7 linked regions of the Oryzias latipes genome follow. The protein of the gene in region 3 purifies or fractionates together with the protein of the main gene of each other region. This does not show direct contact. Links are inferred from orthologs where the notes say so. Each region holds a gene or a part of one and is shown on either strand. Other genes may lie near its edges. The genes, in order: ddx23, snrpe, cd2bp2, eapp, snrpd1, dhx38 and snrnp200.

Region 1 (3,950 bases), on a different chromosome or scaffold from region 3:
TTATCTGTTTCAAACTGAAACAAATTACATTTTTGTATTTCAGTGGTTATATTTCAGATTTTTGCTTCAGATATTTTTTGATCAACTGGTGAAGGCCGAAAATAGAAATATGTGCGTGCGTAGCCAATTTGAACTCAAATTCAGCACACAGACATACATTTTGATTTCACTGAGGGGTCTGGGATCCATCATTTCTACAAAGTTTCATAAAAAGAATTTTAACTGCTAAATGTATGCATTTTTGCAAAAGGGAAAGTAACTACAAAATACATTCAGAATAATTAATTTATTTTCCATGGAGACTGCTCTTATTTGGAATAACAAATCTTTTTATATCTCAACCACAACCACACTTCTTAATTTAAACAATTTGAGTTTTAAAGTATCTATCTATCTATAGAGTGGCCTTTTCTTGTGGCCAGTCTAAGGCACACCTATGGCAGGCCATTTTAACATCAAAAGGCTAAGTTTGACTATCCGGAATGAACATTGTAGATATCAGCAACGTATTTCTGACTAGTCGTAATTACATTTTGGATAGTTGGAATTGTAATTCAAGATATCTGTAACGTAATTGTGATAGTCGAAACGACCGATAGAGATATGGCCTGCCATACACACCTGTGCAATAATCTTACTGTCTAATCAGCATCTTGATATGGCACACCTGTGAGGTGGGATGGATTGTCTTGGCAAAGGAGAAGTGCTCACTATCACAGATTTAGACAAATTTGTGAACAATATTTCAGAGAACTGGTTATTTTGTGTATGTGGAAAATGTTTCACGTCTTTGAGTTCATACCATAAAATATGGGAGCAATAACAAAAGTGTTGCGTTCATATTTTTGGTCTATCTATCTATCTATCTATCTATCTATCTATCTATCTATCTATCTATCTATCTATCTATCTATCTATCTATCTATCTATCTATCTATCTATCTATCTATCTATCTATCTATCTATCTATCTATCTATCTATCTATCTATCTATCTATCTATCTCAGATAAATGCATCGCGATCGCCACCCTGTGCCCAAAATGAAAAATAAACTGAATTTTATACAGGCATTTAGGTGGACATACATTAAACAATCTGGGTCCTCAGAAAGGTCACGAGATTGCTGGGTAGTGTAGTTGATATTTGCTTTTCATGCACGGATCACCAAAGCACGAAACTTCAACTCCCACGTACCCTTGCGAGGAAAGCTTATTTCGAGCGTTATGGAGTCTTCTTGAATCGTTTCTCTATCGCAGTACGTTTGTTGACAAGTGAAAAGGGTAAGTTAACAATCTGCTAAATATAAAGCCTCTGAGCGGGTTAAACTTATGGTTATCATAATGTGTTTTATATGATGTCGGTGGTGCAGAATTGGAGAGTTAATGTAGAAAGAAGCGGCCTTTGTAGCTAAGTCGTTTGCTAGCTAGTGTGTTACTAGCGCTAACTCGCGCTGGATATGCATAGCAGCAACATTCATTTCCCAAAGATTGAGTAAATCACGTTTCCTTGTCTTTTTTTTTTTAAAATATACATTATTTTTTAAAGTTCCTTTTGCTTTTGTATCTATATATTTTACTCGAAAGTTCAAACTCTAAGCATGTTTTTTTTCTTTTATGATTTACAATTTACATAAGAAATTGTTCTTTTTGTGGGAAAAACAATTCATTTAACTGGAACTTCGTAAAGAAATTGTTGTGAAAAAGCGAAATGTCAAGTTGTGACGCTGATGTATAAAATTTTTTTTTGGTAATGTGAATTTTAATGCAAAATTAATGAGCATTATGTCTTGTTTTCCAGTTAGTGCTTCTATCCATATATGTGAATATAATAAAACAGCACTTTATTTTGATATGTTGCAAAAACAATAAAAAAAATACAGAAACTAACTTTTATGATGTATTTCCCAGGTGATGGTTTTAAAAAAAAGTTCTGCTTACATGTTATTGTGTTTGCAGATGGCAGCTGACTCCACAGATAAGAAAGATGCTGAATCCTCAGCGAGCAAGGACAGGGAGAGGAAACGCAGCCGCTCCCGGGACCGAGATCGCAAAGCGTCTCCACTGCGCAAACGTCATCGCTCTCGCGAACGGAACCGCTCCAAATCCGCAGAAAGGTTGCTACACACGCAGAACTGTGTCAGTGTATCATGGCTAATTGGGTTCACGTTCTAATGTTTTTTTTCTGATTTGTTTTATATTTACAGAGACCGACGCATGAAGGACAGAGACAAGGACCGCGACAGGGATAAAGACAGGGACAGGGGCCGCAAGGACAGAGAGAGGGACAGCCATCGCCGGGATCGCAATAAAAGGTCTAGATATCTCGCAGAGAACACATCATTATTAATATACTGTGAGAGGAAATGGGAAAGGAACTCCCTTTGGCATTCTTGGGTTTGTAGAGACTTACGATGACCCGGAAATGGCTCTAACGGCTTGAGGTTATTTTATTTTTTTATATGTTTTTATCTTTTATAGAAGTCCGTCTCCAAAGTCAAAGGATGGCAGGATGAAGAAGGAAAAAGAGATCAAAACAGAGGAGGAAGAAGAGGAAAATAAAAAGAAAGAAAAGGTTTGATTTTTCTATCTATAAAAAAAACTTGAATAATAATCATTTACTCCACAAACAAGGCAAAGAGGGGCAGACATGGTTGTTTTTTAAGCTTCATTTTTTTAAACATATTTTTTAACCAAGATTTAGGAGTTTGAACAAAGAAAGATCCAAAAGTTTAATTTTTGATTGGGATTTCTTCTTGTTTTTTTAAGTTTCAAAAGTTTTGTGCTGATTTAGAAACAATACTTGAAGTGATGCACTGAACCTGCATTGTGTTGTGGTTCAGGTCCAACCGCTTTCGTTGGAGGAGCTTTTGGCCAAGAAGAAGGCAGAAGAAGAAGCAGAATCCAAGGTTGGATTATTCCCGAGAGAAGTGTTTCTTCTTTCTCATTTTTCTATTGTAAATTTTATTTTTTTGTTTTGTTTTTCAGCCCAAGTTTCTGTCAAGAGCAGAGAGAGAAGCCGAGGCTATAAAGCGCAGGGAGCAGCAGGTGGAGGAGAAGAAGAAATTGATGGAAGACGAGAGGAAGAAGAGGAGGGTGTTTCAGGATATGGGTAGAAAAATGTTGGGTGAGTTTCTAACTTGTTCCTCGAAAACAACCCGGCATTTTACTTTGCTAAAGAGACGTGTTAAAAAAGATGTGGCTGTCTCTCCCAGAGGACCCACAGGAGCGGGAGAGACGTGAGAGGAGGGAACGAATGGACCGAGAGAATAATGGAAATGAAGAGGACGATGAGCGCCTAAAGATGCGGGAGGAGAAAGATAAAACTAAAGAACTCCATGCCATCAAGGTTGGTTGCAATCCCAGTTGCGTCAAATGCTTTGATAAAGACAGGAAGGAAGCAGCTTTTGGGTTGTTTCTCTTAAATATACCTTATCTAGAGGCTTCGGGGTACTTTTAAGAGCAGTTTCCTGGTCTCTGGATTGTTCCATGTACCATAATTTCAGGATTATAAATCGCTATTTTTGTCACACGCTTTCAACCCTGTGGCTTATTCAATGATGCAGCTAATTTATGCATTTTTAAATGCAATTTTTCGAGCAGAAAGGGAAAGCGTGAGGCAGGGGGAATACGGTATATGTGTCGAGGAAGACGCAAGTTTAATGTAAATTCCTGCTTTGTGAATGAATAGCACAAACAGACCCTCATCATGGAAAATGCAAGAAGAAATGCATATGATGCAGCTTTCAAGTTAAAAGCGATCATTAAAAGCAGTGTGAAAAAAATCCACCATCACCAACGGGTTTGGAAAAGGTGGTCTGCTGCATGATGGAGAGGACAGCGCAAGCTCAGGAGAGAATTTGCCTCAGGATGAGAGTGACACTGACAGTGACAACGAAGGAGAGATGGAGAGAGAGTGTGGCGAAGAATCTCTGACGCTATTCCAATCAACA
Region 2 (3,968 bases), on a different chromosome or scaffold from region 3:
AATTTAATTTAATTTAACACACATGTAATTAGAAAGTCACATACATGTTTTTATGTTTTATATTCTTAATTTAGCTCACAAAAATCTTAGGTGGGGAAAAAACACTCCTCAATGGAGCTCATGTTCCTGCTAAATTCATAGGTCTGCATCTGCAGGTGAAAATATATTTCACATTTAATCAAAAACAAAAGTTATGCGATAAATTCTAAACCTTTTTGAAGAAAGAACACTACTGAACAAGAAGAATCATTTGTACCTCTCACCTTCTTGACTAAATACTTTTATAGACAACTTCTTTAAATCGACTGCACTTTTTAACAATGTTTATTGTAGAACTCAGATTAGAACTTTAAGTTTATTTATAAGGAAAGTGAAGTGAAACCTTTTACTAATGTTCATCTTGGGCTCGAGTTGTTTCTTATGTTTTTGTTTTTCTCTGCTGCCCTCTTTTGGATAAAATAGGTCACTGCTGTGACAGTAGAACCTGGTCAAGATAAATGTTTAGGAAATAGTTTACAAAATTAAACTCTAATATTGAAAACAAAATTACTTGTAAGAAAATAATAATAATAAAAAGTTTGAACAATTATGGAAAAATTACAAAAATTATCAACAATTTTCACTTATTGAATTTGTGTTGCAAAAACAACTACAGTAATTACATATCTGTATGCTTGTTAATATTATGTGTAATAGGAAAATAAAAAAATAAAAATCTAAATGATAAATTAGACTATATACATCCAACAATTGAACATCTATGAAGTAAATGACGCTATATCCAAACTAGTTGATGTATCAATATTTAAACCTTCTTTTCTGCTATATGAAAGCTGTTCAAATATTATTGGTACTTGTGTTAATCACTGAAATTAATCCAAGCAAAAATAAACGATTACTGAAAATGTACAAGAAAAAAGTCGAAGCAAAACCTTTGTATTTTTCCCTTCAGGATTAAGAAATAAATATGTACTGAAACAGACGTTGACAAAAAATATGGTGACTCAAAAACAACTTAATTATTAAATTTAGCCTTTTAATTGGTACCAGATGTGTTTTCATACTTTTTATAAGTCATAATTAGTCTGCATATTTGAAGGATTTCACACTGAACGTAATTTTTGACCAAATATCAAATTGTGCAGTATTGACATCCTGCCTGTAGGTGGCGCTTGTTCGGTGAAGGGAAACCTTTCAGTGCAGGAACCGGATGCGGAAAGAAACCCGCCATTAAGGCAACTTGGCATCGTGAGCTGAACGTTGAAATCATTCAATTGTAAAAGGCAATATTTCTTTAACGAAATACTTCTTGCGTGTCTTTTTTGCGTGTGAAGAGAATGGCTTACCGAGGACAAGGACAGAAGGTGCAGAAGGTTATGGTGCAGCCCATTGTATCCTTTCTTTGCTGTTAGCATTTGTTAGCAGCGATGCTAATCGGTTATTTCTCGTGTTTGCTCATCGGTAAACTGTATTCCTTTTTTTTCTAGGTACTACATGACTTTCTAAATACATTGGAATGCATATTTACTGACTTTTTTTAATTTCAGTATTGAAGCACGTATTTTTCTGTTTATCGATCAAATTTAAGCACGACGTTGTACTTCGAAAGAAATTGAATTTGAAACAAACATTTTTAGCATTTTCTAAACGTACATAGCAATATGATGGGTTATCAATTTACTATTATACATTTTACAAAAATACGTTTGTTTAATTGGAAAGAAGAAAACAATGACACGTTTACCTTTGGCAGAGTTTTCTTTTAGTGAAAAAAGAAGTCAACAATCGAGATGTTGCACTTAACGACTTAAACTAATAATATTAGTTAAATGCACTACTTTGGTCTGATAATTAAATGTTCTTTTGATTTGTTGTAACAATTGGTCATATTTTGTAGTTTTTTATTTGGTTTTTAACTTAACTCAAGTTTGTCCCTGTGAGTGTGTGAGACCTGTTTTCTTATTTTTCTTGATTATGAAGTGACATGTCATCTATAAAAAAATAAAAAAGATGTTAAAGAAATTAAGAATACCATTAAAATTTGACTCGTAAAAAAACCCCTAACAAAGTCAATAAATAAGAGAAAATCTAATGCCAGAACCCGTTTTAAATCCATTTTTAAGCGTGTCTTCAGTTGTTTTGACATGGTTGCCCTACAGTTTACGTTATAACGTGGATACATCAGCAGAAGTTAAATAGTAAACTGTAAAACTCTAGAACAATTGCAGAATTTCTGTAAGCTGGTAAAAGGCATAACTAACGTTAAAAGACCGCCGATAATACTTCAAAAATAGATCAAAATGATCTGAGTGGGACTTTCGAGCAAATTCTGCGTCATCCATAGCTTTATTTCATCATTTCGGTCATGTAATTGGTTTGTGAAGTCCTTTTTCACTGGCTTACATTGAAATGTATGACATTCACTGGTATTTAACAGGATCTCAGCTCTCCGGTTAAAGTGCAAAACAGTTTGTGTCACTCTACTGAAATTGAAATGACTAGTTCATGTTATTTGAAATATCTTCTGTAACATTGAAACGGTTTAGACATGTCATTTCCTTGACTCTGTTCATCAGAACCTCATTTTCAGATACCTTCAGAACGTGAGTATTGAAGGCTCTTGCAGGTTCACCTTTTGTCTCGGTGGTGACTGAAATACTGATTCGTGTCATCTTTGCTTTGCAGCGCTCACGAATCCAGGTGTGGCTTTATGAGCAGGTGAACATGCGGATAGAAGGCTGCATCATTGTAAGATTTCTCTTTATTTTACTTTCACAGTGTTTGTTAACTTTCCAAATGTGTGCCACAGTTACTTTAAAACTGGTATAGACTGTAAAAACGATCGACGATTCCAGGTTTTCCTTCTCCGCTCCAAAAGGGGGAACAAGAGAAAGTTTGAGAACCACTGACCTAGCATTTTAGTTATTTTTTTTATTGGAGCTTGGTAAAAGTTCTTAATGGCTGGTGTTAGATCCACAATAATCAACTTAAAACTGTTTTGCAGAAATTTTTTCTACGACTATTTTGGGGCTCTGTTTTAGCTGCTTTTGCAGCGGGCACCTTTCTTACCAGTAGAGCAGAACTCTGCAGCTGATTTAAAAATGTATTTGAAAACGGCAACAAAAAAAACACACACTGGTTCAGACTCACAATACAGTAGGTAAATGATCAATGAGAACAGCATAATGACAAACTAAGCATGAATTAGGAGACCAATTGAAATTGCCGGTCCTACACTCTTGACACTTTAATCTATTTTCAGAACATTCTCGGTGATCTTTTAACTATGATTATGCTGTTTTTAGCCGAAATAAAAACAAACAACCTGTGCCGTTTTCTTGGGGGGGAAAAACCTTGAGAGCCTGAATTTAAATGAATCCAAACAGCTTCAGTTATGAAAGTAGTTAATTGATTATTTCCTTTTTATTTTATTTTCCAGGGCTTTGATGAGTACATGAACCTGGTTCTAGATGATGCTGAGGAGGTCCACATGAAGACCAAGAACAGAAAGCCACTGGGTAAGACTCTTTAGCTTGTTTAATTTGTTAAATTTCAGTTACTATTTTTTGATCTTAGCAGTTATTAGAACAGCTTTATTTATTTATTTTACAATGAAAAATTTGAATATTCTTTGTATTTATTAACATGTACTGTTAGCTTTTGTTTCTAGAACTGCTGTAACAAAATATTTGTTTGAGGAAAACATAGAAATATTTTTCCAGTCAGTATTTATTTGTTATACACTCAGGAATGTCAGTTTTTAAAATGTCAAGATAAATTTCTTTCCTTGTTTCACAGGTCGGGTTATGTTAAAGGGCGACAACATCACCTTGCTGCAGAGTGTCTCTACCTAGTGACACCAGTGACGACTGCAGATCCTGTCTTTTTTTTCTGTTAACTGCTTACGATTTTATGCATAAATGTGAGTTTCTCTACAACCTTTGAGAATAAATGGCTTTGTTTTTTTC
Region 3 (4,295 bases):
TCGTCCACCCAGCCCTGGAAAACGAACAATAAGAAGATTAAAACCCCACCAGGTCCAACTGAGGGTCAGAGCTACTTTACAAGTCAATAATCTGGCAAACACGGTGGGATTTACTGCTATCTTTACAGAAAGAGAGCAGTTAAAATTCACTTAAAAAATAAATAAACTTTAAAAGGTAGACATAAAATGCTGCATTAAAGCTGCACAGATTTTATCATTTTTTGTAATAATGTCAATTATGACTTCACTTAAATATCATTTAAACATATTCTGTATCCTGATTTTATTCAAAACAATGTATAGGAGTAACAATAATTACACAATTCTTGTACATTAGGCGTCAAATGAACTATTAGCTGACAGATATAGACAAAGACACCACTTTCTAATTGTTTATATTAAAACACAAAAGGGAGATTAACAGTTTAATTTTGCACAAATCCCATAAGAATAATTCTTCATGTACAAATTTGAGGGGAATAACCTGCATCTGCTGGCTGGTGAAGGGGCCGTAGACCTCTGTGTTTTCCTTGTTGTCCCATTTGTACTCCCACATCACTTCATCCGTCACTAAAAGTTCAGAAAGATCGATCAAATAAGTTACATTGCATGTGACGACAACCGAAAATCTTCAAATGTTTCGCCAAATTACCTCTTTTGTCTTCCTCATCCTCTTTGTCTTCTGATTTTTCCTCAACTTTCTCATCAAATTTGTCGCCAAACATGTCGAGTTCATCCTCATCGTCACTACACCTGGTTCTCTGCCTGTCTGCTGGCTGCTTGCTCGTCATCCTCTTCATCAAAAATCCTAGTTTCTCATAAGTGTGCTGATAGATTTCAAACATCCCTGATCCAACCAGTCTGTCAGCGAGAGCTGTGAGCTTATCCAGCTTCTCGGCATCTCTTTTGTTCTCCTTTGTGGGTTCGTTCTCTTTCCTCAGCTTCCCCTTCTTCCCCCCAAGGCCTCCTAACCGACGGAGCGCCGTAGCAACCGTTTCTCCGGGTTCCAATAACTCAACAACAGCTTCAGTGAGCTGATGCTGCGTGTAGGATGCCAGGGGGTCCTCTACAGGTGTCTCCTCCTCCTCCTCCTCCTCTTCCTCTTCCTGATCACCCTTGTCTACTTGCTTTTCCTCCCTCCGCTTTTCCTCCTCAGCCTCATCCTCATCACCAGCTCTGCGCACCCGCTTGGCTCCCAGACCTTTCTTCTTCTTTTTGAAAGGCTGCTCTCTTATTTTTACCTGTAATAAAGGAAGATGTTTCATTCATTCTCTCTTGACTGAAAATACGCCATGTATGTGTTCCTAAAACTAGTTACCCAGTCTATGTTGTCTAGCCAGTTGTCTTTAATCTCTTTCTCCTTTTTGATGAAATAGTTTCCCTCTGAATCGAAGTGACCTTCCTCCATCTCCTCTTCTAGGTTAAAAGGTGTAATAGATACTCCCTCATCATAGTCGATAGTTGCTCCTTCTTGACCTGAAAACACATTTTCTGACATTAAAACAGCTTCCAGGGAAAGTTTACGAAAGCACTATTAGCATAAAGGACTACTTTGTGCAGGTAAACAGATATTAAACATCTTGGTTTAAAATTAAAGCACCCTCACTTATATTATTTTTCAAAACAAACAAAAAACAAGGCTTACCCTCCACATCATCGCTGGCTAGAATGTTGTATTTGCTGTGTTTTGATTCTCCTCCTTCGTCCTCTTCATCACTGTCTAGTGAATGTTTGCCCTTGAACCTGGAACCTGGTCCACTCACTGCCTCACAGCTCTGTTTCAACAAAACAAAGTCATAGGGATGGCACTTAGAAACAAAAGCGAAACAAATGTATTTATTTTGTGATCGATGCCCCCAAAAAAAGCATAACCTAAACAGTAAAACAAGGTCATGCTTCACCTAAAAATAGGTGTTTTTATTCTTTTACATTCTATCATTTCTCAGATAATAAAAAAATTACACAGGTCTGCCATATTTTGAATTAAACAAAGTGTCCACTTAAGCTAAAAATAATCTCAGTTCATAAGTTACTGGAAAAGATTTCAAATGACTAATAAAAGTTATAACTTATTAGTTATGCAAATGCCGTTTTAGAATATATCAAAATAAAGTAAACATCTTTAAAATAACTGTACTAATATTTCAATAGAATAGTGGAATGAAAATAGTGCATCAAATAAAGGCCAACAGCTCATCATGAGGAAAACACAGAAATGAATGACGCAGCACAAAACTAAAATAAAACACGCGGCACTTAATTAGTACCAATACGTAACAAATGATTACTTATATAGTTTATCCAGATCAAAATTCAGGAAATCAAAGGCTAAACTTTTTTAGCAAAACCCTGACAGATCCTCCGGCTTTACCTTCTTCGTGAGCCCGTCGTCTTCCAGTTCAAACTCTTCGTTCCCGTCCTGAAATGTCACTTTTCTCTTCGACATGGTGCTGGAGAAGACAACAGAGCACCACTTTTATCCACGCAACTACACACCCACAAGTGACTGTAATAACACGCACGTTATTAGCTTTGCAGCTAAGTGTTAGCAAACAACAACACGGAGAGCATGCAGAACAAGTAAACGCCTCGCCACCAACTGCGACTCGATATACGAAAGGCATTCAACATTATGTTGGTCAACATAATGTATAAACAAATAATAAGTATAAATGACACAATAGAACAGATAGGGAGAGCGTGGTAAAAAACCTGCATAAATTGTCAACGTTCGCTTTCGCTTCTTGTTTGACGGAAATCTAGATTTTATTGTTATTCAACAATGGCGGAATGACGCAACACCGCCACCATGTGGTGTGGAGGGTAACAGCTGTTATTTTCAAAGATAAAAGCGTTGAGGCTGGCTCAAAAATTACATTTTGTTTAGGATTCATTCATCTTTTGTTATCCGTTTTTTTTAGCAAACTGTCTTTATTTACCACACCCTTTTTGAAAAACTGCAGTTGTGAATAGTTAAAGCAGGAATAATTTTCTGTAAAACTGTTAATAAATCTAGAAATGAGAATTCAGAGAAACAATATTCGATTTCAGTTTTGCTCTTTCAGACGTCATTTTGAAAACTACACTTTGAATAGAGCTATGTTTCATTTTTGTAGATTTAATGCTTCTCCCTAAAAGCCATTAATGCTATTGAATTTATAACTAAGTCTTTTTATTTTATCATTTTTTAAAATAGCTCTTTTTTTATTTGTGATAGCACACAAACAAAATAATTATTATTAGATCTGCATTTTCAATCGTTTGCATTTTTAATCTTTTATTGTATTAGTTTTTAAAAGCACATAAGGAAAATGCACGGGATTTATGCACAATAGGAACCTTATTAGGAAAGCTGCTCAATTTAAAAAAAGATTTTGTTATTTTCCATGGCAACAAACACAAATCCTTACCAGGAGTTGAAATTATTCTATAAATATAGAATCAGAAGCTGATCTAATTATAGCTTTAAAAAAAGTGGAAAAAAAACCTAGATCAATAAAAGTGGTGCTGTTTTTGACAGGGAACTGAATCTTTTCAGTTATTTTCCATCTGCCCACAGCAGAGTCAGTCGCCTTAAAAGCAATCATAAGGAAATCACATCATAAAAGAAATAAAAGGAGAAATGATGGAGCCAAGGCAGTCAACTCCACCACAGCCACTAGAATCTCACTTCTTGACAGTGAAGCAGGTCGCGACTGCTCAGTTCCCAGGAGCTCCGGGCAGACTCAACAGAGAATATAACGTGTCAGGGTATTATTACCAGGAAGTGGGTTGAGTTATTTATATTTAAACGCTCGTCCTTCGGTGCCCATGAGGGAACCAGCTTTAGTAACTTAATGCTAAATATGAAAACATTGTCTGGGCTGGTCGAATCAACCTGACAGCAAACAACCGCCTTCATATTTAACAACAACAAAAATTAAAACATAATGTGTCGATCTGAATAATGAAAGGACTGCGTGGGAGGCCAAAGTGACCCTTACTGCTTGACAAAAGGTAAGTCTGAGTCAGCGCTGTCAAATCTGCAGTGATGTGAGCAGCCAAGAAAAATATTGTGGTTTTGGAAATGTGCTGACATTTTTATTGTTTATTATGAGGTACTTACCAGGTTTAAAATAAATGTCGTTATGTTGGATGCATGGGGGTTGATGGTATTGCATGTTTCACAAGTTTTATTTATTCATTTATTCATATGATGATCTTTGTTCACTTCTAGTAGTTAAGGTTTAAAGATACTTTTATTCTGAAAATTCTGTTGCATTACTTTATTAAAACAAAAAGGTGTATTATAAATA
Region 4 (4,134 bases), on a different chromosome or scaffold from region 3:
ATTTCATGACGTGCATTCAAACCCTGAGAATTATTCTATGTATGTACTAGAACAGAATTTCTGGCATGGTGGTACAACGGTCAACCGCTAACATTAATATTCCTAGTCCAATTCCCACTCCCAATTACGTTCACACCAGACGTGTCACACATTCTTGGACATGCGTTGTCATATGGTGTTCACAGTGGACGGGCGCCAACACGTCCACCACCTCCAGTTGGAGGAGGCTTGGGAGGAAAATTCAAAGCGGTGCAAATCTCCAGGCGTTTTCTTTCACGGCTCGATTCCGGTTTATGAAAGACTTGGTGTGTCATGTAGTTCTGGCAGGGCACAAACTGCACATTTTGAATTTCTCCTTCTTGATCACCTTTCAACCAGTTAGCCCATTTGGTGAATTAAAAAGGATGCTACGCATGCGTCACTACCAAATCTGACTCTCTGATTGGTCAAAGTTCAACTGGTTTAACTTTCAAAGTGCGTTCAGTGGGTGCAGGTTTTGTACAAAAACAGACATCAAGACTCGCGCAGAGATGCACGAACAAAAGAGTTTTGACCGAAGAAGCCGGAAATGCGCATTTACAAGCGTTTACATAGACTTGGACTCGTTGGAAGTAGTGGCGTAGACGCGGATTCCCGTGGGCGGTGTGAACCTAGCATGCCCGTGCTCACGCCGCGTCAGTGTGCGTCTTACCAGCTGTGTCCTCCTCCTCTGAATCAGAGTCAAAGTAAACGCTGTCGTACATCTGAGGGTTGGAGGAACCGACAACCTCGCTGCCTCCTCCAGTTTCTGCTGCAGGAGAGAGGAAACCTTCACATGCAATCCCTCCTGAAACCTTCGTCTGCAGTCAGATTAATACAGAAGCAGACCAACCCCTCCAGAGAACAGCTGATGAGCTGCCTTTGCAGAAAAACATTCAAAATTTACAAACTATTGGTTTGTTTTGGGACTTTTATTTAACACAAACTAATCATTCAATTTCTCCTGGAATTGTGGAGGATTTGAAGGTTCTGGTGGATGAGAGGTTGTGGACTCCGGCTGGTTTGACTTGACTTTCTACTATAGCAAGTACATTGTATTAAAAGAGCATTTTTCTATTTTAAATTGAACAGTATTTCTAAAATATATCTTTTTTCTAATGTTTGTATGATTTATTAATTAAAACAAAGTAAAGAAGCCAAACATGAGTGGTATCAGGTCAAAACTATTGTTTTTGAGTTTTGCATGAAACCTGTCTGGATCTACAAATCCTCCCATGCTGGTCACTGATCTGACTGTTCATTACAGCTCAGACCTTAAAGTCTGCAGCTTCTAAAGAGAAGAACAGCTTTTAAAGCTGCACTGAATGGAGGAATGGAAACATCAGAAGACCTGTGGGGTGTTCCAGGAAGCATGTTTAAACTAGCCTGACTTTAACCCTGAACTCTGGCTGAAATCCGCCTGAAATCGCTTACTCTGGGTATGTCGGTTCCAAAAGACCGGGTATGAGTTGGCGTAATTGCGCTCGACTTGGTAACCCTGGGTTAATGCTCGTGCACAGCAGGTACATAAAGACATTCTCAATAGATCGCCGATTTACGGAGTAACCATGGAAACGCGTGGAGAACAATGGTGGAAAAAGTATTATCTGAGCTTCTTCATCCACTAAATCATCTTCAAATGGACACGCCATGCTGCTTCACCTCTCTGAAAACAAACTAAGCTTCAACTAAACCTGCTCCAGACCAGGTTATGTTCAGAGCATGAGTTACTATGGCAACTTGACCTACCCTGAAGCATACCTCCATTTCTAAAACAGAAAGCTGAGGGTATCAACTTCCTTAGCCTCAAACTTACCGTGGTAACTAGCATAACCTGCTTTCTGGAATACCCCCCAGATCAGGCTCTAGAAGCAGAATGAGATGGTTTTGAAAGGAGAGACGGACAGTTATGCTGCTGCTGCTGCTGCTGATGATGATGCTGGGAGGCGGCTGAGGTTGGGGCTGGTGGCTCCAATGTGGTAAAGTGGTTCAAAACAACAAGCAGCTCTCTTTTGTACAAAAGCTTGGTGTTTCTGTGTTTGGAAGGGCCCTGTGTGTGTCTGTGCGTGTTACGGGTTACCGGCTGCAGGGGCCCAGCTTCCTTCCATGGTCCTGAGGGTGGAGCTCAGCTCTGCCTCCATCTCCTTCTCAAACTCATCCCCGCTGGAGGACTCGCTCTCCCCGGTCAGGTACTCCCGGATCAGCTTCTTCTTCTGGTCCGGCGTCCCGTTCAGCAGCACGTCCAGCTCGTCCTCGGAGCTGAAGACAGGCGTTTCTGTTCAAAACTGGACTTTTGGAAACCTTCATCATGATGACGATCATGAAGCAAAGCAAAACACAGCGCCAAAATGCGACATATTGCGTCTCTTTTATCATGGTCTAAAACCTGATTCAAACTTTAAAATTAAACGTCTAGGAACTGGTTTATCCTGCATATATTCTACCTTTAAAATCAAAAACATCATTAAAAACCAAATCATAAACATGTAATGTTTTTATCCGTTTTTGTTGCTTTCAGCTGTTGTTAGCCTCGTGCTGCTAGCATGAAGCTAACCGTCTGTTTACATCATACCTGCTCGAAGCGCGTTCTTCGTCGCTTGGCTCATCGATTTCATAAGCCTCACTTTCCACCGGTCCGTTAAACTTGCTCATTTTAACAATTTTAAACTTTCTCAGAAGACAAAACAACGGGAAAGATTTATCCCGAAACTGGTCTACACTCTGTCCAGTCTGACGTATGTCTTCTTCTTCGGCATCGGTTCTTCTTCTATGGTGGTAAAAGCACTTGGAAAACTCGTTACCGCCCTCTTGTGGAGAAACATTTTAAAATCATTTTTACTTCAACTATCTAAAAGGAAATTCATTTCAGAACTAAAAAATAAAAGTAGGTGGAATATAAAACAAAAGAAACAAATAAAAATAAATTTATTTATTGCTAAAGCCACAATTTAATAGTAAAATCGGTCAGGTTAAAATGCTGAAGCTAAATTTAAAAGATTAGAAAAGTAAAATTAATAAAAAAGAAGAAATTAATTATTGTTTGGATTTAACAGTAGGTATAACATGAAAATAATTAAGAAAATTTTCAAACATTATATATTTTTATGTATCCCCAAAATATAATGATAACTATAGACTTCAAAAAGCATTAAATAAAAAGTTTTTCAAGATTAGTTTAAGGATAACCCATGCAACTTGAAAAGGACAATAGAGGTGAAAAGATTATTCAGCCATAAGCGCTCATCCTGGCAGCTCAGGAACAAGCCCTGAGTACCAGAGCAATAGAGGCTCAGATCTACCACACCAGACAAGACCCAAGGTGTAGGCTGTGCAAAGAGGCGCCTGAAACAATCCAGCACATAACTGCAGGGTGTAAGATACTGGCAGGGAAAGCATACATGGAGCGCCACAATCAAGTGGCTGGAATAATATACAGGAACATGTGTGCAGAATATGAACTGGAAACCATAAAGTCAAAATGGGAAACACCTCTGAAGTGGTAGAGAATGAGAGGGCAAAGATCCTGTTGGACCTCCAGTGTTATGGCTGTGGCCGTATTCGGTTTTGTTCTTTTTGTTCTGTCTTTTTTGTATCATAGTGGGACTTCTGTGTTTTGTGGGTTTTTGTGTGTCTGTCTGATTACTTTGGTGCTGGAAAGGGTGTGGCTTCCTTTTGGACCCAAGCTGATGGAGGCAGCCTTTACAAGCAGCATGTGGACCCCCAGCCTGCCAGAAGGGAGCTTTGCTGCAACCTGTCTCCACGGAGGTTATTGTTTTGTCACAGGTAAGATTTCAGATCTCAGTCAGGTGGGGTTTTGTTTGTTATTTTGGGTTTGGTTCACCCTGAAGCCTTTTTGCTTCACCTTTTAGTTATTGTCGATCGGTATTTATTAATTTGTAAATAAATGTTATTTTTTATGGAGACACTCTTTTGGTGTTTTTGGTGTTAATTTAAAGTCAGGGCAAAAAGACTTTACTGTTATGTTGTGCTCCTCTAGGTCCCCCTAGATATCAAATGGGGCAAAACATCCAGATCCAGACTGATGCAGTGATCGCTCCTCTAACTTTACCTCGCCTGAGGAAATCTATTTGATCACCTTTCATAATTAAAGTTATG
Region 5 (4,282 bases), on a different chromosome or scaffold from region 3:
TAACAGTCCTTCAACGTTGTAGATCTTCACATCTTAATACTCACCCACAATGTTTACAGGGGGCTGAATCACTGCCTTTAGGTAGGAGGCGATTTGGTGCTGGAATGAGAGGAATATTAATTTAAGGGAGTTAAGTTGGTGTTGAATTTCTTCTACTGTAGTAAATGGGTGGTGGTTTGAGTTTGAAGCCAGATGTGTTGCCCATGATTTCATTCAATGAACTGTACTGGTGTGTGTTTTTCTTTTTTATTATACAGCATTTATTATCCCTGAATGGGAAGTTTGTATTTTTGTTTTTTTGCAGTCGTGCTACACTCATCAGGCAGCATGCAGAGGACATGTTTGGGGGTTTTTCAGCATTTTCACGTTTGGACTGATGGTGAATGTTGTGGTGGCATTTGTTCTCCACACTGTTTGATTAAATCCTCCCTCCACAAATACCTTCTTTTTTCTTTTTTTTTAAATACAACAATTTGCACTTTCTTTAGGTTTCACTTGATACATTCCCAGCTTGTCTCAATAAATAAAAAGTATTGCTGTTTGGCCAAAACTCTAAATGAAATATCAATGCAAAGTTTACTCTCAATAAAAAGATCTGAAAGTTTGCTCCTTTGTTCTTTTTGTCTTCTTTCCTAGATCAATGGTTCCCAGCTTTTTGTGTATTTTGTAAGGATGTAAAGGATACAGTTACGTATTGAAAATTGATCAAGTACTGGAAGTAACAGCTCTATCAATCGATAACCTTAAATACGAGCAAGTTGGTGAAAAGGTAAAAAAATGAAATCAATCAGGAAGTAAATCGTTATTTTTTTTTCTTTTCTGTCTTTACTGTCTTTGCCTTTTTATGTACATGTGATGCCAACATGAAGACACCCAATCACAAAGCCTACTTCTACCAAATCGGGTCAATTATGATTGGCTGAATGTGAACCACAGTGTGCTGTGTTCTCTTTTTTCACGGTACTGCAAACAATGCCTGAATAAATTCCTATGACAATTTTTTGATCATAAATAAAAACAGAACAGTATTCGTAGTTGAAGCAGTTCTCTCAGAGATGTTTTGTTTTTGTTGCTTCAAAAAAAGGGCCAATAAGAACAAAATTTAAGAAAAAAGTTTCTCTGTTAAATGGCATTTCCATTAATAATTTTAAATGCCAAATACATAAATAGAAATCTATGAATAAATGACTGGTACTTTATTTTTTAGCACCATACAATGGCATCAGGGTGCCAAAGGGCTTACATTAACATAACATTTAAAATTGAGTAGATTGAGAGGGGAAAAAAACAGCATTAGATGGAAAAAACAATAAAACACATAGAAAAACAGTTAATAATTAAAGTAATTGGTAAGTAATTAAATAAAGACAGTAAAGGAATATTAGATGCCACCAACCCAATGAGTAAGAGAAAACAACTCATTTTTGTCTTTCCACTGACTGTTCTTCATCTCACCACCAGGCGGCGGTAAGACAACATTGACGGTGAGCGGTGGCCTCTTTCTGACGTCATATCAACGCGACACAAACGTTGGTGGTACATCAGCGGCCTGTGATTTCACTCGATCGCTGTAATTTTTCTCGTCGGTGGAGGATCTTTTCTCTACTGTTCGTCATGAAACTAGTCAGGTAATTTGCTGCATGGTCTGTAGATGTGTCGACTGGTTTAAGATAGGATGATGAAATAAAGGCTGTGTGGCCGGATGGGTTCAGATAGACAAATGAACTGTGTGGAGAGGCGGGAACAAGGCTGCTGGGTTTTCATTCAAAAAATACATATAAACATATCATTAGAGCTAACTATTTAATCAAGGATTAAACTGCTTGTTTTAGCAATATTTGTAAAAGATCGAGGCTGATTCGTTATCATTTATGGTTTTGCAAATTTCCCCCCGCATTATTAAAACTATCGTACTAAAGGAGGTTAATTTATTAGATGTTGTTTCCGTTTCCTCAAAGTGCTTTATCATTATTTAATTGTATTTATTTTTGGATGTTTTTAATTTCCACAACTTAAGAGACAAATGTTTTGTTTTCAGTTTACACAACAGTATCAATCCACCGAAGCTAACAAGCTAAGAGCTAACACGAGTTTTGTTTAGATACTAAAAAAAAAATACATTCAAAAAGGGGGGGGGGGGTATTTTGTACAATTTTATACGTTAAATCTTATGTGTTGTACAAAAATGCTGTCTAATGTTTGTGAGAGAGAGACGTCTTCTTTGTGCAAAGCAGTAAGTTGGCTAATTGATCATTCAAGATGGATCTAGTCATTAAAGTCTTCTACAGCAATGGTGCCAACCTTCTAATAAAGCGGTTTTTTATTGTATTTAATTTATCAAAATATTTTTATGATTAACAGAAAACGTTACCAACAATTATTTCTAACAAAAAGTCCGCATAAATGTTCATACAAAACATTAAAAAATGTGAATCTGAAAATGGAGTTTAAAGTCTTCCATTTTATCCAGTATGTATGGGATCAAATGCAGTTTTTGTATGAAATGGTGCATATCACAGTATGTTTATTTCCCTCGTTTTTTTTATGTTTGACATTTTGTTTATTTCATTTGTATTTTGTGAATATGAACAGACATAAAAATGATGCTTTTAATTTGTTAAAGTCCACCAATCAATTATTGATTAACATTTTCCTGTTCTAGTTCTGCTTAAAGGTCAGCATGTTATTAGTGTATTTTTTTTCATGGTATTGTCACTTTAAAACATTGACGTTTAAATGAAAGTGCCTTTTGGATTCAGAAAACCAAAATGAATGTGCCAATTCTAGGTTTTTGAAAAATACACTTTTGAGTAAGAATAAAACACGTGAACCTTTTTTGTTTCATGTGGGATGACAATAAATCATGTTTTTTTTTTTTTTGCGAAAATGATTCTTTCCCTGAAGTGTAGATACATTATACTGGTACTGCTTTTTGATTACAAAATGGTATGTTTGGTAAAGTATAGTGCAGTAAAACAACTCTTAAAGGTTAAGTAAATGTAAATGTATGCTACTCTCCCGTGTCCACACAGGTTTTTGATGAAGCTCAGTCATGAGACCGTTACCATTGAACTGAAGAATGGCACTCAGGTCCATGGCACCATCACAGGTGAGAGCAAACACTTTAGAGACGAATAAATGAACTAAATCATTTTTAAAATCCTCTTCTTCTTCTTTTTAATAGGTGTTGATGTAAGCATGAACACACACTTGAAGGCGGTGAAAATGACCCTAAAGAACAGGGAACCCACTCAGCTGGAGTCCCTGAGTATCCGAGGCAACAACATTCGCTACTTCATCCTGCCAGACAGTCTTCCACTGGACACCTTGCTGGTCGACATTGAACCAAAGATCAAGTCCAAGAAGAGAGAAGCAGGTGGGAGATTTGGGCACATTCTTACCTGGAAAATTGTATTAAGTTGAGAAGGATTTTTCTGCGATAAGAAATCCCTCAACAGTATTTATATTCATCATGGGTGTGTAAATCTGCTGTTTATTTCTTTGAGAAATGTTTTGTTCTGCTGATTAAAACTTTTTTTTTTCACGAGTATGGTGAAAGAATCTGGCCTTTCTTGTTCTCAGTTGCTGGTAGGGGGCGAGGCAGAGGACGGGGCCGTGGCAGAGGAAGAGGACGAGGGCGAGGTGGACCACGGAGATGATTTCAGAGCCCCAACTGTTTGTACAGCTTTTAATTGTACTGCGCGGTGGACGCAAAGTGAATCTAAGTGTAAGTTTAGGGTTGTTTTTCTTTTTTATACTCGTGGGTTGTTTAAGACCGCGAGGGGGTTTTGGATGCTGTTGATTCATAATTTGTACCATCTTGAATAAAATGTCTGAGCAGCATTTAAACTGGGTAAAAATGTCATCTGTTTTTTGCTTTTTTTATACCTTCTTGTGTCTTTGGCAAAGTTGGCTGAAAATGTAGCTGTTCTACTGGCATCAAAGAAGAATAAATCTTTTTTTTTCTCTTTGTAATATTTGGCTCTTTAATTGGCTTGATTAGTTTTCACTTTTCCTATAAGTGATTGAAATAGGTTGATAAGGTTTTTTTTCACAGTTTCTGGAACTGATTACATCTCAACTTATTGTTGATGATGTTCCAGATACTGCTGATCCACCTCTGGTGGATGGTGTGGATGTTGATGACTGCAAATGTAAAAACCTTTTGTCCAATACTTAGATGGGCTGGCTCTTAACCCACATAAGTTTCCAATAAAATAAAGAAAATCCACTTTGAATTTTGACATCATTGTAAAAACTTATGTTTGTTATTGAAGATCTC
Region 6 (4,075 bases), on a different chromosome or scaffold from region 3:
TTTTGTTTTTAATAAAAATGTTGCATGGGTAAAATGATTATGTATACTTAAAATTGAAGAGAAATGTTATAACATCCAGAATATAGTATAGACACTGTTCATTTTCATAATAAAAACAACCTAGTATAAATCATTTGGGGAGCCAAACATTGGGCATTAATTTCATAAAGATCTAATTTTTTCAAATTACCGTTCTTTCTTGGCACTTTTATTCTCTTCGTCGTCCTCTTCATCAGAGCCGGAGTCACTTTTACCCTCTTCCCAGTCCTTGTAGGAAGAAATCTTTGACTTCTTTCTGTCTCTTTCATCGCAGTTGAATTGTTCCTGTTCTTTGGTCTCCCGCTCCTTTCTCTTTTGGGCAGCCAGTAGATCCAAGCCCAGCAAAGATGTACGTGGTGTAGGTGCTCGAAAAACATGAGGTTCTGCAGCAGTACTCTTTTTCTTTACAATCAGACCGCCAACCTGAGCTTCTGGACTGGTCCCTTCCAGCCTATGCATGGAAACATCCTCCTCCTCCATCCTCTGACAGCAAACACAGACAAGTTGAGCATAACAAATAACAACAGCACTTTTGATATGCTGGTCATGAGAGCACTTAACATTTATAAGTTCACTGAAACTACAAATAATGTGTTTACTATGAATAGATGCAAAACTTAACAAGTATTTGCTTGAAACTTCTAATTTGTAAAAAATAAAAAAATAAAAAACGAAGTAGTTCCACAACCAGTGAAAAGTTTTAGAACACTCCCATGTTTCCAGTTTTTATTGGAAAGTAATCAGTATTATAAAGGCGCTTGAAATAAAATGTATTATTATTATTATTATTATTATGTCTGTTATCCTCGCAATCTTAAGAATATTAGAAATTAGAAAGTGGAAATCCTGGAGCGAATTTACAAGCTAAAATGTAACTTTTAATTATTTAAAGTAGCCACTTTTTATAGATATAGCCACTAAACAGAGTCAGGCATTCTTTCTGCAACAGAAACTCTTTAAAAACGCATCTCCAGGCCTCCTGCAGGGGTTCACATAAATGCTTGCCACTTTGCTTTTCCTTTTCCATCCACAAGTTTGAAGGATGTGCAGGGATCTCCATGTTTCAAAGATTACCATTTTGTTATTTATTCTAAGGTAGTTCTGGCAATGCTTGGATTTTTATTTGGAGTCATTATGTTGTTGAAGGATTAGCCCTTGACCAACTAAATGTATACAACAAAATAAAAGTAGTGAGCTTAGAATGCCGTAGTTTCTGTTGGTTTTAGGTTCCTCTCTGTGCAACCCACTGAGCCTGGGCCCAGAAAAACAGATCCATACCCTCACATATCCTCCTCTATGTTTGACAGTTGGTATCACAGACTGTGGAGCCTTTGCTTCACCTTTTTGACAAAGATTCTGTGACACAAAGCAAATATTTCAACATTTTATTAATTGATCAATACCTTATGTAGAAAAGCTGTTGAACCTTAACCTGCCTGTTAAGTCCCACAAAATGAGTTCACCAATTCAGCGGCGACTTTGGATCTTCCAGACTTTTTCCTTTCAAGAGTTTTCCCAACTTTCTGTGCACGTTTTGATTATGAATACAATTATATTTTTATACAATAAAACTCACTGACGCCTTGACTTTCTTTATTTGTCTGTACAAAATACCTACACTTTTTGGTGTTTTGATGGGCTGTGTCTCTTCCATTGTCGTTTTTTTTCTGCTTTTTCTTTTGAAAACAAAAAAATACTTTTAGATGTAAAACACTGTTTAACTACTCCCTGCTCTCATGAAGATTGAGAATGTTGCACGTTATCAAAAAAAGTAGGAACACCTGTACAAATTATTTTTAAGTCTTGATGAACATCTAGCTTTAAACTGTTAATCTATTTCATGGTAGTAGACATTTTGTGTATTTCAGAAATCTGTACTTTCTTAGTTTAGCCATAATTATTATGGCTAAATATGAATATTTATTATTATTAGCTGGCAAGAACTTGTAACCATTTCATGTTATTATTTGGAAATTACCGCCCTGAATTCTTTAAAATCGTGTGGATTTTAGATGTTCTAAAGCTGTTGACCGACAGAGTAAATTGTTAACTAGGAAAATATAAAATTAAAATCAATTATAGTCTTCAGTTAGATGACTGACTTGCAAAAAAGAAGAAAAAAAGGAATAGGCAAACCTGCTGTGCTTGTAAAGGCGCATTTACCATGGTATATTGCTTTGCAATTATACAATTTCTCAATGTTTACAATTAATTTGCGATTCATAGATTACTTTGGCTTTATTCGGTTAATCAAACCTTTTTTTTTAGCCTGAATAAAAATGGAAACAAAAACCCTTGCCACCCCCCCCCCTCCTCCTCCTCCTCCTCCTCGCATGAAAATAATTCAAACTAAAAGTGTTGATGGAAAAATCACCTTGATCAACCTGATTTTGAACATAGTCTACTGAGTATGGTGAATTTACGCACATTGACCTGCTCAAAAAGCGATTATAAATATTTGATTTTTACTGTTATTCACTGCAGTTTATTGTAAATGAATTGGACCTACCTCGGGCCGAACAGCTACCGTTAGCTTTCCCAAAAGCTACTTGTTAGCATAGAGCACCAGAAGATAGAACACCGCCACTTCTATTTCTGGGAGCCAAATGAAAAAAACCTTCATACGAACTTCAAGATCAGACGACAATGTTGTTCACTTCTGAAGACAGAGACAACAAGTAGAACGTAAATTCGTATATACGACGCAAATGTTTACAGACGCCAAAACAGCCATTTCAATCCCACAATGCACTCTGTTCTTCTTCTACACATGCCTGCAGTGTCTATGCTGCCACCCACAGGACATTCTAAAAAATAAAATAAAATAAAAATTTGTTAAAACAACTTAAAATCTCTTTTTTGTCTTCAGGACACGAATATTCGGCTTACCGTTTGTTCACATAATCAGCAACGGCAGATACATAGAAAAAAGCTAGTAGAAAAAGCTATATATTAAACACCACAGACGTGGACTTATATTTTTTTGTTCCCTAAAAGTCTCCTGCACACAGAAGTTATTCTTAAAAGGGTCATTTTGTCCCTTATTTTTAAATATAGGGGGACGAGTTATTTATTTGTGTGGCGTACTAAGGTTTACACTTGTTTACCAGCATCTGTGGCTTATGTTTTCTTTCACCACACTACTACAGTTTTGGTTCACTTGCTCTAAGTATGTCTTTTAGCCAAAGTTTACTTTATATCCTTTAAGTAGTGACTTGTCAGTGTATTTTTTTCAAAGAAACTTACTCTATGAAGTTAAAATAAAAATGATTTTGCCCCAAAAGAAAAAATAAATCTGGCCCAAGGTTATCTTGCAGGAAAATATGGAAACTGGATGTATTGCTGCCTACTTTGTGTTTTGCAAATTTTCGAATGGATGGAGGAGACCTTTTTTAAAATATATATTAAAAACTACAAACCATAAAATGTTACCCAGATTTTTTAACAACATTATTCACGCCACGAAAAACGCAAGTCATGTTCTCATGCGCAATGACAGCACACACTTGACAACCTTTGCGCATTTCTTTGGTCTCATGATCACAAGGTGGCTGATCTGATTGGCCACCACTCAAAATCTCGCCCACTCATTGGTTGATGACCACGGGTCTGCTGGCAAACTAGAACACACATGATTGGTCAGTTCTACGTCCCTTCTAGTGTACCGGTTTGTTTCATGATTTCGTAATAAACAGCACGGTGGCGCTGTCTACTTCTGCCTTTCTACGTTCTTATTCGCTGTACCCGTGAAAACATTAAGTAGCTACCCTTCAGTTGCGTCTTTTTTAGAACACCGTTGAAGTCGCAGTCGTTAAATCCATACCTGGCTAACATAGGCTAACATTAGCCAACACCTAGACGACTTTTTGTTTTGTTTTTTTTGTATCTCGCTAGAATGGTCGAGGAGGCTAACTTAAAGTCGAGCGGCAAAAGCACAAATAGTGACCATTGTGAAACCGTCGACAATGCCTTAAAATACTTTACATTAGAGGAGATAAGAGTACACAACATGATCAATGACACATGGCTGGTAATC
Region 7 (3,500 bases), on a different chromosome or scaffold from region 3:
AACTATGTAAAATACCGGATATGACCATAAAAGAAGAAATGGCGAGTTCTTTTAAGATCTTTTAAGCGTGCTCTTATTATTGTTATTATTATTAAGTGCCTGATGCTCATAATTTTCTAAATATGTGCAGCCAGTGCTTTATTCTTGGCTGCATGTACCCAGAAGAAGGGTTAGGATTAGGTTAATACGTGCTAACAACATTTGGCCGTGGATGCAGTTAAAATCCTTTTGGTCAATGCTGCAATGTGCATCTTGGCTGCACATAGGTATGTGGGCATAACGTCAGCCTTTATTTTGACTGGACATGATTGAAAACACAAATTCACTTAATTATTTGCGCGGTTTCTCAGGACTGCTCAGTGCAGTGCATTTCCGCATTCAATAGCTGCCTCCGCCATCTCACACACCGTTCTGAAGCTGCTCCTCTGCTTGGAGACACGAAGCTACGAGTCCGGCTGCTCTGCTCACAGATGTGGCTCGCTCGCGCGGAGCAGCCTCTGGAGCACCACACCGTGTGTGCATGACATAAAAGCCAAAGCCGTAGTGACCCAGGATCGACAAAAACTGTTTATATGCACCACGATCGGATCAACATTCGACATAACACGCCTACCTCGATCAGAAGGACATTTTGATCCAAATGAGTCTGTTCAAAGTGTTTACTTGACGCATTTTTATTCTGATCAGGCGTTTATTCCGATTACTTTTGTCTATGTAACTGCAGCTATTGTTGCACATTAGTTTGCCTGAAGAATAATGCGGTTCTCTTTCTTCAGAGTGCTGGACGGTTGATGCGCGCCATATTTGAGATCGTGCTAAACCGAGGCTGGGCTCAGCTCACAGATAAGACCATGAACCTGTGCAAGATGATCGACAAGAGAATGCAAGTGTCTTTTATGTTACTAAAGAAATACATTTTCTATCTTGAAGCTGGATTCTCATGCTTTATGTTCTGATTTTCCTACAGGTGGCAGTCGATGTCTCCTTTGCGTCAGTTCAAAAAGCTGCCAGAGGAAGTGGTCAAGAAGATTGAGAAGAAAAACTTCCCTTTTGAGCGTCTGTACGATCTCAACCACAATGAGATTGGTGAGTTTCTCGCTTCATGAAGCATTTTCATTCTATGCTGTCCTTTGCCTGCAGGACACTGAAAAAGCTGTTGTCTTCCTCTTTGTGTAGGCGAACTGATTCGAATGCCAAAGATGGGGAAGACCATTCACAAATACGTCCATCAGTTCCCAAGACTGGACCTCGCCGTTCATCTCCAGCCCATCACTCGCTCCACTCTGAAAGTGGAGCTCACCATCACGCCTGACTTCCAGTGGGACGATAAGGTCTGTGGCTGTAACTCGGGGACGTTTCCCTTCTGAAAAGCTTTTCCTGTTTCTAAGCTTCCCTTTCTGCTTAGATTCACGGATCATCTGAAGCTTTCTGGATCCTGGTGGAGGACGTTGACAGTGAAGTGATCCTCCACCACGAGTACTTCCTCCTTAAAGCCAAGTACGCCCAGGACGAACATCTGGTGACGTTCTTTGTCCCCGTGTTTGAGCCTCTGCCTCCTCAGTATTTCATCCGCATGGTTTCAGACCGATGGCTCTGTAAGTAGCTCAAAGAGAACTGCAATGCAGAATTCCTCTGCTCTCCACTGTACAACTTCGCCTGACACCTTTCTCGTTTCTGTTTTTCTCTCAGCCTGTGAGACTCAGCTCCCAGTGTCCTTCCGCCACCTCATCTTGCCAGAGAAGTACCCCCCACCCACTGAGCTGCTGGACCTGCAGCCGCTGCCCGTCACTGCTCTCAGGAACTCTGCCTTTGAAGCTCTCTACCAGAACAAGTTTCCGTTCTTCAATCCAATTCAGACACAAGGTATTTGGAAAAACGAAACCCAGACAAAAAGATGGAATATCCCATTTTCAGACTGATCTGTTTGACTCAAACCAGAGCTCTGTATTCACATCTTTTTCTTTTCTTACTCCTTTCTCCAAATCAGTCTTCAATGCCGTGTACAACAGTGACGATAATGTGTTTGTGGGAGCTCCCACTGGGAGTGGAAAGACCATCTGTGCGGAGTTTGCCATTCTCAGAATGCTGCTGCACAACACAGAAGGCCGCTGTGTGTATATCACTCCCATGGAAGCACTGGCTGAGCAGGTACAATGTCATGGAAGAACTCTGTGAAGCCCACATCCATTTGGAGAATCGGACCGCTTGTAGCTTCATGATGGCTTCTCTCTTTCAGGTCTTTGTTGACTGGCATCAGAAGTTCCAGGACATCCTGAACAAGAAGGTGGTGCTCCTAACTGGGGAGACCAGCACCGATCTGAAGCTTTTGGGGAAAGGGGACATCATCATCAGCACCCCAGACAAATGGGACATCTTGTCTCGTCGCTGGAAACAGAGAAAGAATGTGCAGAACGTCAGCCTTTTCATTGTGGATGAAGCACACCTTATTGGTGGAGAAAATGGAGTAAGAAGTGTTTTAGTCTCTGTAAACAGCAGGTGTTTGCATCACTGTATGTAGATTGTCTAATCGATGGGACTTTGGTTGTGTTTTTAGCCGGTGTTGGAGGTTATCTGCTCCAGAATGAGGTACATCTCCTCACAAATCGAGCGTCCCATCCGCATCGTCGCCCTCAGCTCGTCTCTGTCCAATGCCAAAGACATGGCTCACTGGCTGGGCTGCAGCACCACGGCCACCTTTAATTTCCACCCAAATGTCAGACCTGTGCCTCTGGAGCTGCACATTCAGGTTCATTAACATGTCTACCTGTAAATGATCAAAGCCACAAATACAGGATCCTTTTGTTAACATGGACCTTCTCTGTTCCTGCAGGGTTTCAACGTCAGTCATACTCAGACACGGCTGCTTTCCATGGCCAAGCCAGTCTATCATGCCATCATGAAGCACTCCCCATCCAAGCCGGCGGTGGTGTTCGTACCGTCACGCCGACAGACCCGCCTCACTGCCATTGACATCCTCACTTTCTGCGCCGCCGACGTGGTTCCTCAGAGGTTGGTCACCAGATGTGACTCCACTCTCTGGGTTTGGAATCAAATCTTTACACAAAGGTGAAACCTGTTTCTTTGAAGGTTCTTGCATTGCACCGAGAAAGACCTGGTACCATTCCTGGAGAAAATAAATGATCCCACTCTGAAAGAGACTCTGGCCAATGGTGTGGGATATCTGCATGAAGGCCTGTCAGCAACTGAACGCAAAATAGTGGAACAGCTGTTCAACTCGGGTATGATTCATTCCTGGACTTCATTGTTGATACGAGAAGAATTTTTCATCAACATGCAAAGCATTAGAAAAATAAATTTCTGAATGATTGATGGTAATTCTTTCATCCAGGTGCTGTCCAGGTGGTTGTTTCTTCTCGTTCTCTCTGCTGGGGAATTAGCATCTCTGCACATTTGGTCATTGTCATGGACACCCAGTACTACAATGGAAAAATCCATGCGTAAGGATCAGGCTGTCCCAACCTCTATAGCGGCTCAGAAAT

What was found.
Region 1: the proteins of cd2bp2 (region 3) and ddx23 purify together in Homo sapiens (affinity purification with mass spectrometry; 6 studies listed by BioGRID and IntAct, counting the BioPlex papers as one, with this or other methods). This does not show direct contact. The link is inferred for Oryzias latipes from reciprocal best matches to the Homo sapiens genes CD2BP2 and DDX23.
Region 2: the proteins of cd2bp2 (region 3) and snrpe purify together in Homo sapiens (affinity purification with mass spectrometry; 3 studies listed by BioGRID and IntAct, counting the BioPlex papers as one, with this or other methods). This does not show direct contact. The link is inferred for Oryzias latipes from reciprocal best matches to the Homo sapiens genes CD2BP2 and SNRPE.
Region 4: the proteins of cd2bp2 (region 3) and eapp purify together in Homo sapiens (affinity purification with mass spectrometry; 3 studies listed by BioGRID and IntAct, counting the BioPlex papers as one, with this or other methods). This does not show direct contact. The link is inferred for Oryzias latipes from reciprocal best matches to the Homo sapiens genes CD2BP2 and EAPP.
Region 5: the proteins of cd2bp2 (region 3) and snrpd1 purify together in Homo sapiens (affinity purification with mass spectrometry; 3 studies listed by BioGRID and IntAct, counting the BioPlex papers as one, with this or other methods). This does not show direct contact. The link is inferred for Oryzias latipes from reciprocal best matches to the Homo sapiens genes CD2BP2 and SNRPD1.
Region 6: the proteins of cd2bp2 (region 3) and dhx38 purify together in Homo sapiens (affinity purification with mass spectrometry; 3 studies listed by BioGRID and IntAct, counting the BioPlex papers as one, with this or other methods). This does not show direct contact. The link is inferred for Oryzias latipes from reciprocal best matches to the Homo sapiens genes CD2BP2 and DHX38.
Region 7: the proteins of cd2bp2 (region 3) and snrnp200 purify together in Homo sapiens (affinity purification with mass spectrometry; 8 studies listed by BioGRID and IntAct, counting the BioPlex papers as one, with this or other methods). This does not show direct contact. The link is inferred for Oryzias latipes from reciprocal best matches to the Homo sapiens genes CD2BP2 and SNRNP200.

The regions. Positions count from the first base shown.
Region 1 is NC_019865.2:19,105,989-19,109,938, forward strand, and holds the start of ddx23 (probable ATP-dependent RNA helicase DDX23), read left to right. Parts: upstream 1-1,150; 5' UTR 1,151-1,281; intron 1,282-1,956; coding exon 1,957-2,114; intron 2,115-2,204; coding exon 2,205-2,312; intron 2,313-2,478; coding exon 2,479-2,572; intron 2,573-2,840; coding exon 2,841-2,906; intron 2,907-2,985; coding exon 2,986-3,124; intron 3,125-3,212; coding exon 3,213-3,346; intron 3,347-3,950. UniProt on the Homo sapiens protein: Involved in pre-mRNA splicing and its phosphorylated form (by SRPK2) is required for spliceosomal B complex formation.
Region 2 is NC_019863.2:23,629,254-23,633,221, reverse strand, and holds the start of snrpe (small nuclear ribonucleoprotein E), read left to right. Parts: upstream 1-1,168; 5' UTR 1,169-1,337; coding exon 1,338-1,391; intron 1,392-2,576; coding exon 2,577-2,603; intron 2,604-2,685; coding exon 2,686-2,748; intron 2,749-3,439; coding exon 3,440-3,518; intron 3,519-3,798; coding exon 3,799-3,854; 3' UTR 3,855-3,968. UniProt on the Homo sapiens protein: Plays a role in pre-mRNA splicing as a core component of the spliceosomal U1, U2, U4 and U5 small nuclear ribonucleoproteins (snRNPs), the building blocks of the spliceosome.
Region 3 is NC_019866.2:3,948,470-3,952,764, forward strand, and holds the start of cd2bp2 (CD2 antigen cytoplasmic tail-binding protein 2), read right to left. Parts: upstream 2,801-4,295; 5' UTR 2,713-2,800; exon of another isoform or gene 2,451-2,712; 5' UTR 2,447-2,450; coding exon 2,372-2,446; intron 1,776-2,371; coding exon 1,646-1,775; intron 1,477-1,645; coding exon 1,319-1,476; intron 1,242-1,318; coding exon 653-1,241; intron 571-652; coding exon 485-570; intron 15-484; coding exon 1-14. UniProt on the Homo sapiens protein: Involved in pre-mRNA splicing as component of the U5 snRNP complex that is involved in spliceosome assembly.
Region 4 is NC_019880.2:24,339,382-24,343,515, reverse strand, and holds the start of eapp (E2F-associated phosphoprotein), read right to left. Parts: upstream 2,801-4,134; 5' UTR 2,671-2,800; coding exon 2,591-2,670; intron 2,278-2,590; coding exon 2,099-2,277; intron 791-2,098; coding exon 692-790; intron 1-691. UniProt on the Homo sapiens protein: May play an important role in the fine-tuning of both major E2F1 activities, the regulation of the cell-cycle and the induction of apoptosis. Promotes S-phase entry, and inhibits p14(ARP) expression.
Region 5 is NC_019869.2:22,965,507-22,969,788, reverse strand, and holds snrpd1 (small nuclear ribonucleoprotein Sm D1), read left to right. Parts: upstream 1-1,482; 5' UTR 1,483-1,614; coding exon 1,615-1,628; intron 1,629-3,032; coding exon 3,033-3,109; intron 3,110-3,184; coding exon 3,185-3,376; intron 3,377-3,582; coding exon 3,583-3,659; 3' UTR 3,660-4,231; downstream 4,232-4,282. UniProt on the Homo sapiens protein: Plays a role in pre-mRNA splicing as a core component of the spliceosomal U1, U2, U4 and U5 small nuclear ribonucleoproteins (snRNPs), the building blocks of the spliceosome.
Region 6 is NC_019861.2:20,526,057-20,530,131, reverse strand, and holds the start of dhx38 (pre-mRNA-splicing factor ATP-dependent RNA helicase PRP16), read right to left. Parts: upstream 2,801-4,075; 5' UTR 2,549-2,800; intron 523-2,548; 5' UTR 520-522; coding exon 191-519; intron 1-190. Other genes in the region: cytochrome b5, read left to right, coding at 3,935-4,075. UniProt on the Homo sapiens protein: Probable ATP-binding RNA helicase. Involved in pre-mRNA splicing as component of the spliceosome.
Region 7 is NC_019867.2:18,369,349-18,372,848, reverse strand, and holds part of snrnp200 (U5 small nuclear ribonucleoprotein 200 kDa helicase), read left to right. Parts: intron 1-776; coding exon 777-883; intron 884-967; coding exon 968-1,086; intron 1,087-1,176; coding exon 1,177-1,331; intron 1,332-1,405; coding exon 1,406-1,595; intron 1,596-1,689; coding exon 1,690-1,863; intron 1,864-1,987; coding exon 1,988-2,148; intron 2,149-2,236; coding exon 2,237-2,464; intron 2,465-2,554; coding exon 2,555-2,746; intron 2,747-2,830; coding exon 2,831-3,009; intron 3,010-3,087; coding exon 3,088-3,239; intron 3,240-3,349; coding exon 3,350-3,458; intron 3,459-3,500. UniProt on the Homo sapiens protein: Catalyzes the ATP-dependent unwinding of U4/U6 RNA duplices, an essential step in the assembly of a catalytically active spliceosome. Plays a role in pre-mRNA splicing as a core component of precatalytic, catalytic and postcatalytic spliceosomal complexes.